Linked DNA regions of Caenorhabditis elegans. The protein of the gene in region 2 interacts with the protein of the main gene of each other region in a biochemical or structural test. Each region holds a gene or a part of one and is shown on either strand. Other genes may lie near its edges. The genes, in order: gnrr-3 and nlp-22.

Region 1 (5,736 bases), 7.7 Mb from region 2:
GGTGTCTGGATGGGAATTTGGGAAAACACAGGTCAAACAACAAAAGAAGGGGATTGCAAAAAAGAAACAAACCGGAACAGAAAATGATCAAAAAATTTCATTTGATCTGTAAGATTTTATAGTTTTCTCGGGAACAAATAAAATATTTATTTCCTTGAGATTCACCGTTTTTCCGAAAGTTTTTAGTTTGAAAGATGAATTTTATATGGCTTCAATATGCAAAGTGTACTACCATGCATTTGGGCCAGATTCCAAAAATTTTCACGAGAAGATATTTTACGAATAGGAATTGTTTTTTTTTTAACATCCATAACTTTCTCCCAAAAAATGCAACAACACTTTCAAAAGAGCACACTCAGTTTTATTACCATAAATTAATTTTTCTCAGAAGGGATTATTCTTGAAAACAGAGGAATGTGCTACATCACATAATGTACATCTTCGCATTGTTGGTTCGACAAAAGTTTTTCAACGATCAGAAGTTCCAGTTTGTTACATAAAAATATACACGAAATATTTCAAATTGATGGTCATTCCTCAGCATCTGCCAGCTTTTCCGTCAAGTGATCCGGTGCATCTAAACCTCATTACTTTTGGTGTTTTTGAGTCGATTTGCGACGCGCGTCTGTTCTCGAACCGTGGCGCGTGTACCTCGAGGCGACACTTGGGAGGAGTTTTGTTCTCGGTGTGCGCGATTTGCTGCGGCAACAATCCGCTGGGCCTCGGCTTCCCGGACCGTCGTCGATCGGCGGATAGACCGACTTCCTGCAAAGTGATGCTGATCAAGATGCGAAAAATGTAGTTCTAGGTGGTGGTGGAACAGGTCGTTGTTGCAAGAAAAAGAGAAATGTGATTAGAAGATAGACGGTGTGATAGTGTAATTAACAATGTCTAGTTCTAAAATCACACCACCTGCGGGGATTTACTGCAAACTTAATCTAAAAAAATTTTTTAGGAGAAGAAGGTCACTTTAATTGAAATGTGAACGTTCACAAATTAATAAGCTGTGTTTCTAGTCTCTTTTTGTATGACGCCATTTCGACAACTGACGCCATCTCATCATAAATTGGTTGATCAATTTGAGAATATCATGAACTCTATCTCAAATGATAAAAGACGTAAATACGTGCAGTTTGATAAATTTTGTTATAGAAAATAACCGGTTTCCAGAAGGGGAGTTGAAATTAACCACGTGATTAGATAAGGGCTTTTGAAGTGAGAGAGTGTCGGAGGTAAAGAGAAGAAAAACACTTGACCGTCATGCATACCTCCTTACCAGCAGTGTCCATAGTACTGCAGTAATACGAGTTTCTTTTTGGCTCAGTGCCAAAACGATATAGGAATGGATTGATGCACGTGCTAAATAAGAACAATTAGGGAAAACTATTAATGAATGTTTTTTCCTGAATACCTTGCTATAATAATTGCCTGTAACCAATTCAGTTTGCTCACAATTTCCTGGCAATTTTCAGAAACACAGACAATTCGAAGAAGAGCCAAAACCTTAAAATTCACGGTATCTATAACTGAAACGATACTTCAAGTTTGCCTACTTGATATGGAAGCCATGTGAACAGGAACGTACAAATAATTGCCACAGAAGCTCTGAGAAATCTTGCTTTCGTGTTGTTCGTTTTTTGTCCACTTTGTCCTCCGTCCTACAAATATGTTTATGTTTTTTAATTGTTACGTGTATCGAATTGGAAAAATAAATGAAGTTAATTGTATGAATTTATTTTTCCAATTTTTAATTTGATTATTTGTTGGTTTTTAGTGTAACTGTTTTTGCATAATTTCACAACAAAAAATCATCAGTGATACATATTTGTTTGCTTTAATCTGCTTACACCGAATAAAATAACTATTTTGTCATTAGAAAATACCAGGTGTGATGATTTCAAGCAGATAATTGTTTGTTAAATTTTTTTTCTTTTCTCAAGGATACAATTGATGTGTTATTCCAGTAACCAAATCAAAAATGTTATTAATAGTCATTCTATACCCAAAAATGAATTTCTGTTTTCAGATATATTTAGATCATACAGATCATAAGATCACTGGAAAAAAATAAGACTGTCTATAACAAGTTAGTCACTCATGAGTTACGTTTCCACATTTTTTAAAGCACTTAAGAGTTCAGCTTCCATTTTTAAAATTTATAAAATTTATAAGCCAGAAAATGTTAAAAAAGTTGAATTTTTTCACTGAAAGTTTTGGTGAAGTAAAAAAGTAGAACAATTTTGGCTTCTCAGAATTTCATCGAGAATGTATCCTTAGTTTTCAACATTTCCGTAACTTAGGCTCCTCCACTTGAAAAGTTAGATTTTCAAAATTGCATTATACCTGTAATAAACGACGTTCCGCCATTTGTTTCCGTATCGATACCCCGATAGCCAAATAGCATATGATAACAATCAACAATGGAATGTAAAACGAAGTTATGACATGAAACAGGTTGAATGCAATTAACACATCATCATTGAATACCTGAAACGTTATATGTTAACAGAATTCGTTTAGATATTACAGGAAATTGACATACATCAGTTCTTGGGTAGCATTGATACATATCTTCATCGTTGATCTGAATGGTTCCACGCAGAATGCTCATTGGTGATGCACATACAACTGCAAAGCCCCACGCAAGAGTAATAAGCCAATTAACTCGGTTTGCCCCTGTTCGATAGCTGCTCAGTGGAGATCTGAAAAAAAAAACTATATAAGTCAGTGATTCCGATATAGAGTACTTACGTAATACAGCAAAGCATGTCAATTGCAATAGCTGCTACCATGTTCGACCAAAGATGAAAAGGCAGAGCACAAAGAAAACTGAATACTCGACACATAATGTCTCCTAAAAAACAATAAAATTATTATTCAAATGATTATCTACACCTTGAGTCCAGACGATATTATATATCCAATAACTTCTCCAGATCCCGTACATAAAAAGAACCATTATGTGGGCAATAAGTAGCTGTCGACTAAGCTTGACCAGTCTGGACTCCACGCCTCCTTCTCGAACATTTCTGAATATACAAATAAAATTAGAAACATGAACAAAAAATAAACATCAAAACGATGACTGTAATTTTTAATCAGTTTTGTAATAGTTTGGCACGTGAATAAATTATATGCGCGGCTTAGGTTATGCAGGTACTTCAGTAAACTGTTTATCGTTCGAATTTTAAATCACGGATAGTCGAGTATGCAAAAAGGATCTGCAATTACTTAAAACCCCCCGGTTTCTTGGAAAATAGCCTTGCAGCTCTCTCTATTAATATTGCAGTGCTTAAGACTAATAAAAATTAGTCTTGCATGCAGAACTAACATAAGATTAGTTTAACTGACAAACCATTTGCAAAATGTGAAATTAGCTATTATTACTTTTATAGTGTTAGAAGAGTATTAGCTCTAGCAACACTTACCGACTTGTTTTGACAAAAGCAAAAATATTGATTGGAGTACCAATTATGAAAAATGCAAGCTGGTAAAACATTTCGATAACTTCTGAAGTCGAATGCATCATGACAAACGTATCCGATGTTGAGTTGTTCATTTTCTGAAAAGTTTCACAATTGGAATTGTAGTATAGTGTAAGTAATGAAAAAAAACTAGCAAAAAGAAGTGAGGTGTCTTTGCTGGTGACTGTCCGGAAATGAGAAATGAGTGAGATGTGGTAAAACGAAAACCGAGATAGGAGGGGCTTGATTATACAAACTACCACTTTCGGCATACAAAATTGCGTTTTTTTTTTTCATTTTTGCGAAGAAATATGTAGTATTCATCGAGCTGGTAAATAATACGATGCCATGACAGATGTTACTACTGCTAAATGATACGGTGGCTGGAGTGTTAAACGAAAAACATAGAAAAGTGTGAAAACAAGAGAATAACTCCAGAAACTATTTGAATCCAAAGGATTGTCAGAATCAACCGGCGTAGTTTTGCTTTACAAATATGTTAGCTTTAGGCAGACATAGCAATATTGGCGTGAAAACTGCAATTATCGTCGATGAAAAGTATTTTTCTTTATAAACAACAATATTTGGAGCTTTCCAGTCTGATGTAAACTTTTGAACCTGTGGTGAAATCACAACTGAGAAAAAATATAGTTTTTCAAAAAATTAGAAATGTTTGAAAGTTGCTTTGGAAAATACCAAAGGAAAAACATTTGAAAGATCTTGCTGAGACTCAGTCATGCAAATGTTTAAAAAAAACCAACAAAATGCAGTATTTAAATGTCCAGATGCAAAAATGCTTATTCAATTTGCCATCGCATTCATAATTTTACAGTATTGGTTATCTCAACAAGTACCGACAACGGTAATTTAAAAATATAATATTTATTATTATTATTACTTCTTAAATTTTCAATAAAACCGACATAAAATCTATTTGGAGAATTAGCAACTGCAGGAATCAAAGTAAAATGGTTAACAATAATCAAAGTTAAAAAAAAAAACTTGAAACAAATCCTATTGGACAGAATTTTTTCACAGCAAAAACCATTTGTGCATCTATTAATTGCTAGCACAGTATTCGGAAATGTGTAATGTTGTGATTACAAACATATTAATGATCGTTGAAAAAAACTTGATCATCGTTAAAAATTACATTACAAACAAAGTATCAAATTAAAAGTGGAACTACTAACGAACTGAATGAAATCTCTCTTATGAAAAAACAACGACCCGCAACATCGCATTGTAGGAAATTAGAAATATACATTTTCGTGATGTATTTGGTTCTAGAAACCATTTGAAAACTACATCATATTTATGAGTACGAGTAAGTGGAACGGAAAAAGAAACTAGAGAAACGTATAAGTTCTGAGAGCTCGTTTCTCCCGCTTTTAATCCTAATGGCAAAAACCGACAGTTTTTGAGAACATTCAAAAACCCATTTGGCAGTCTTGGTTTCCAATAAGTAATCCACCCAGAAAACTCATAAGATTTACGATTTTCTCAGAAATGTTCCGTGTTTCTCAAATTGGAAAGTATTTAAAACACTATAAAAAGATCGAAGTGAATAAAGTAGGGCTTCCATGTGAGAGCGGCGCGGCGGCGGCGCCTCACGCCGGCCTCACGCCGACCGGCCTTCGCAGTTATATTTTCATTCATTTGTCAAATTTTGTTCATTTCGATTGATATTTCATACTAAAATGCACGACAAAAAACACATGTACCAGAGATTGTTGAATACAGATATAGATGTAACCAAAGAAAATGTGTGTTCCATTTCAACCGAGAACCCTAACCCATTGTTCTCTTCCTTTTGATTTAATATTTTAAACCACTAGAGTTCAACTTTCTAACTTTTGACCTTTACCCCTTTCTTCACAATTTGATGTTCGGTCAACCATCCGAACCTTTTTCTTAATTCATTGAGCTTGGAGTTTAAAACTCAAACTTCGGAGATAAGCGAATCATCTAATCACAAATTCAAAATCAACCGTTTCCAACAATCCTATTCTCTTTCACTCCTGGTTTAAAGTTTGAAATCCGCTGTAATTTGTGTCCGAAGAGTGACACTTATCCTTCACAAACTCTCAGATATTACATTTTGAATGGCCAGTTGCGTATTGCAATGTATCATTTCGAGATACCGCTGACCAGGGCGGCTCGTGTTTGCCCTTGTCGTCGCACTTTCATTACTACCTTCGCTTCTTCTTACCCCTGCCGCTCAAACTGCGTGTTTCCACCATGAAACCTATACTTTTACCACTTCTATTTT
Region 2 (3,232 bases):
TTTTGACTGGCAATAAAACATTTTCATGGAAATTGTTGGAACAAATTTCGGCTCATTGGTGCAACTGGGCCTTTAAAACTGGACAACTTAAACATTAAAAAAAAACCAATAAAACAAAGTTTCAGATTCAGATTTTTGAGTCCGAAACACAAGATATCAAAAACTTGAAACCGAGCAAAATAGCAGACTAATTTTCTCCCGTTTTTTCCAACTTCGGTTCCACTTTCTCATGAGTATTTTGGAGGCGTTTAATTGACTCTGAATTAGTCTGGTTTTGAAAATCGTATGATGTGTGCCCACCACTGTACTTTTTTCATAGCCTTCTTTATTAGCTTCTGCAGAAAAAATGGCATTTTTGAAACGAAGTTTTAAAGAAAAAATCTCAAGTTAACAGTTTTGTTTATTGAGAATAATTAGACAGATAAATGAAAACAATGCAAAATACGAAATAATTGGTGTAGCGTTAAACATATCGGAATGATCCGGTTAACAATTAACATCAGAAAATTCATACTCCGATTGGGAATCCAGTTAGTTCGTCCGTTGTTCGTTTCCCTGGACGGAATCCGGCTCGCCCAATCGCAATCGACTTTTTCATGATTGGAAGGGTTCGGAGTCTCCAATAGCGCAAGCGCCCCTCACGAGTGTTGCGCAGGTAGTTTGCTCGGTGAAGGATCTGATTGAAATCGACTTGATCGACAACTCCTAATCCGCGGAAGACATCGATTCCACCCTGAAATTACGGTGCTTGTTGCCATTTGAAGGAACTCGATTTTGGGAATTTTTGAACTTATACTTTCAAAATATCCTCAAATGAATGAATTTTTTAATAAACTTTCGCGAAAGTTTTTCAATATTTTTTTGTGGCGGTTCAAAATTTTCGCATAAAAATGGCCTAATTCGGACGGAAATTGAAATTTTGTAACCTATTGGTTGCCTATCCGCTTGAAATTTTAAACTTAAAAAAACGATGTAAATGTGCAAATTGAGTCAATAATAAAAAAAAAAAATTTTTGGGGATTTAAGGCTAATTTACAAACAAACACATCTAGGTCTTTTTTCGAAAATTTGAACCGTCGTAAACACAATTTGATCGGTACCCTTTTCCTTTAACATTGTGTAAAGCTAACCTGAAGCCCAAGAGCTGAGGTCTGGACCAGAAGAATGTCCAACGCGAAGATCGTCAATCCGATGAAGACGATTATGGAACGCATTTCCGAGTTGGGAAAGTTCGAGAATAAAAAAGAATAAAAAACGGGGGTATAGTGAGCACAACTCGATCGGCCAGAATTTATATGCTTTTTGCTCTGTTACATCTAAGGCGGAGCAAAACGGTTAAACGACCGGAACCGGTGAATGTTTTTTTTGGAAAACGTTGCTCTCGGTTTTGTGAACTCATAAAGTAACATGCGAAAAATTGCACAAAAACTACTGCTTTACACCCACAATGATTTGTTCTCTGGAAACGTGGGTTTCAAATTAGAATGATAAAAGTTCCTTATTCTAGTGATCAGTGATGATTACTCATGTCTTTGCTATCATTTCATACAGATACTTTATTTGATTCACAAGTAAAAATTAATGTTTGTAGAAATTCCAAAAATTATTTACTCCGAGAAATCATTGCGGTAAAGAGGATAATAGCTCTCTGCAAATGGCATTGATCGCTTTCCGCGGTTCCATCCAGCTGCAAATGCACGCTTCCCTGGGCGCATTCCAGCTCTGCCAATTGCCATTGATCGCTTTGCTGGCCGGAATCCTTGACGACTGATATAAAGACGCTTCTCCATAGTTAGTGGCTCCGGTTCTTCATCGGCATAGATCTCATCTTCGTCGTTTGGGATAACAATCATAGGGGTCGCCAAGTCGACAGCATCATCTTGGTCTAGGTCATTAGAATCTAAAAGTTGGGATTCGTAGGAATCATCTTTAGACGTTGGATGTTCCTGAAATGTTCATTTGCTACAATTACATAAAATGATAAAATAAGTAGCTCAGTTCATATGAGCTCACCGAGTAAAAACCCAGCTCCAAAGCATGAGCTGAGACTCCAAGAAGTGCCATCCAAATGACGAGGTGAGCTGCCATTGACTTTGAAAGTGATATCAGGTGGGACTGAGGACATCCTTCTGCTCGTCTTTCTTTTTATAGCACCTATTAAGAAAACGTGGTCTTGTAGTCCGGAAAACTGACACTACGATATTTTGGAGGATCGGATTTTTACGAGTTTTTTAACGATTTCGTAAAGGGACTACACTTCTACAATAGAATACAACGACTATAGGTGTATCTAGGAACTAAAAACAATTTTTTTTGAGAAGTTTAGAAATTTGCTCATCTGAGCACATTTTGGGTACATACATTCAAAATTCCAATACCTCCTCATCAGTGATAAAAAGGTCAAATGCGGAAAAGCCTGGAAGAACTGCGGAAAAATTGCCACAGATTTGGGTTTTATAGGCGGCTAATTATAATTTAATTTTGGAATTGGACAATCTGATTTCCCTTCAAAATATTTTTTTTCTTAACAATTTACTGACGACGAGCTGAAGATGATACTATCCCACGTCACTGATGTTTTTCCAACTAGAAAAAAAAACGTTTCCATAATGAGCTGAACATCGATCAAAACAACAGGGTACCCCTCTGAGAATTTTTTAATTCAGCTTACACAAAAAAAAATTGCGAACCGGCATACATTTAGTACAGTTTTGAATAACAGTAGGCAGTGAGTTTTTGCATTTTTTGAATTTTTGAAAATTTTTGAAAAAAAAAAGGTTTCAATATTGTCAGTGCGATTACATATAGAATTTATTCAATTGTATGGAGACAATTTTTTGGAAGGCTAAAAGAAAAAGAGCAAATTTTAATCGGACCCATACGTGCCTTCAAACTTGGCACACTGGTAGTGGACACATGGCTCAACAAATTGATTTCAACAAAATTTTTTGAACTGACCTACATGTTATATTAGTAAATCTGACTTTATATTGCATAAAATCCCCGATCAAAATAGTTTGTGATTCATATTCACCCTGTCTGAAACTTCTTTCCGAACCATTACTCTCTGAAACTGGGCTCTAAAAAACTCTAAAAAACAGAACACGATTTCATTCCGGTAATCTGGCTGTGTTTGTACATAAAGTATCAGTGATGATGACGGTGAATATTACAAAGAGATCGATTCAAATTAGTCGGAGCAGGTTCTCTAGATTATATAGATTTCTGGAAC

The links.
Region 1: the proteins of nlp-22 (region 2) and gnrr-3 interact in a test that uses a peptide from one of them, tested with the Caenorhabditis elegans proteins (one large-scale study listed by BioGRID).

What each region holds. Positions count from the first base shown.
Region 1 is NC_003284.9:10,047,283-10,053,018, reverse strand, and holds gnrr-3 (G-protein coupled receptors family 1 profile domain-containing protein), read right to left. Parts: upstream 3,560-5,736; coding exon 3,429-3,559; intron 3,030-3,428; coding exon 2,896-3,029; intron 2,855-2,895; coding exon 2,752-2,854; intron 2,703-2,751; coding exon 2,543-2,702; intron 2,488-2,542; coding exon 2,344-2,487; intron 1,659-2,343; coding exon 1,554-1,658; intron 1,504-1,553; coding exon 1,412-1,503; intron 1,360-1,411; coding exon 1,269-1,359; intron 766-1,268; coding exon 538-765; downstream 1-537. Other genes in the region: ZC374.2 (Fibronectin type-III domain-containing protein), read left to right, coding at 5,706-5,736.
Region 2 is NC_003284.9:2,340,851-2,344,082, forward strand, and holds nlp-22 (Neuropeptide-Like Protein), read right to left. Parts: upstream 1,240-3,232; 5' UTR 1,215-1,239; coding exon 1,131-1,214; intron 734-1,130; coding exon 509-733; downstream 1-508. Other genes in the region: nlp-23 (Neuropeptide-Like Protein), read right to left, coding at 1,608-1,946, 2,014-2,088; nlp-2 (Neuropeptide-Like Protein), read right to left, coding at 3,209-3,232.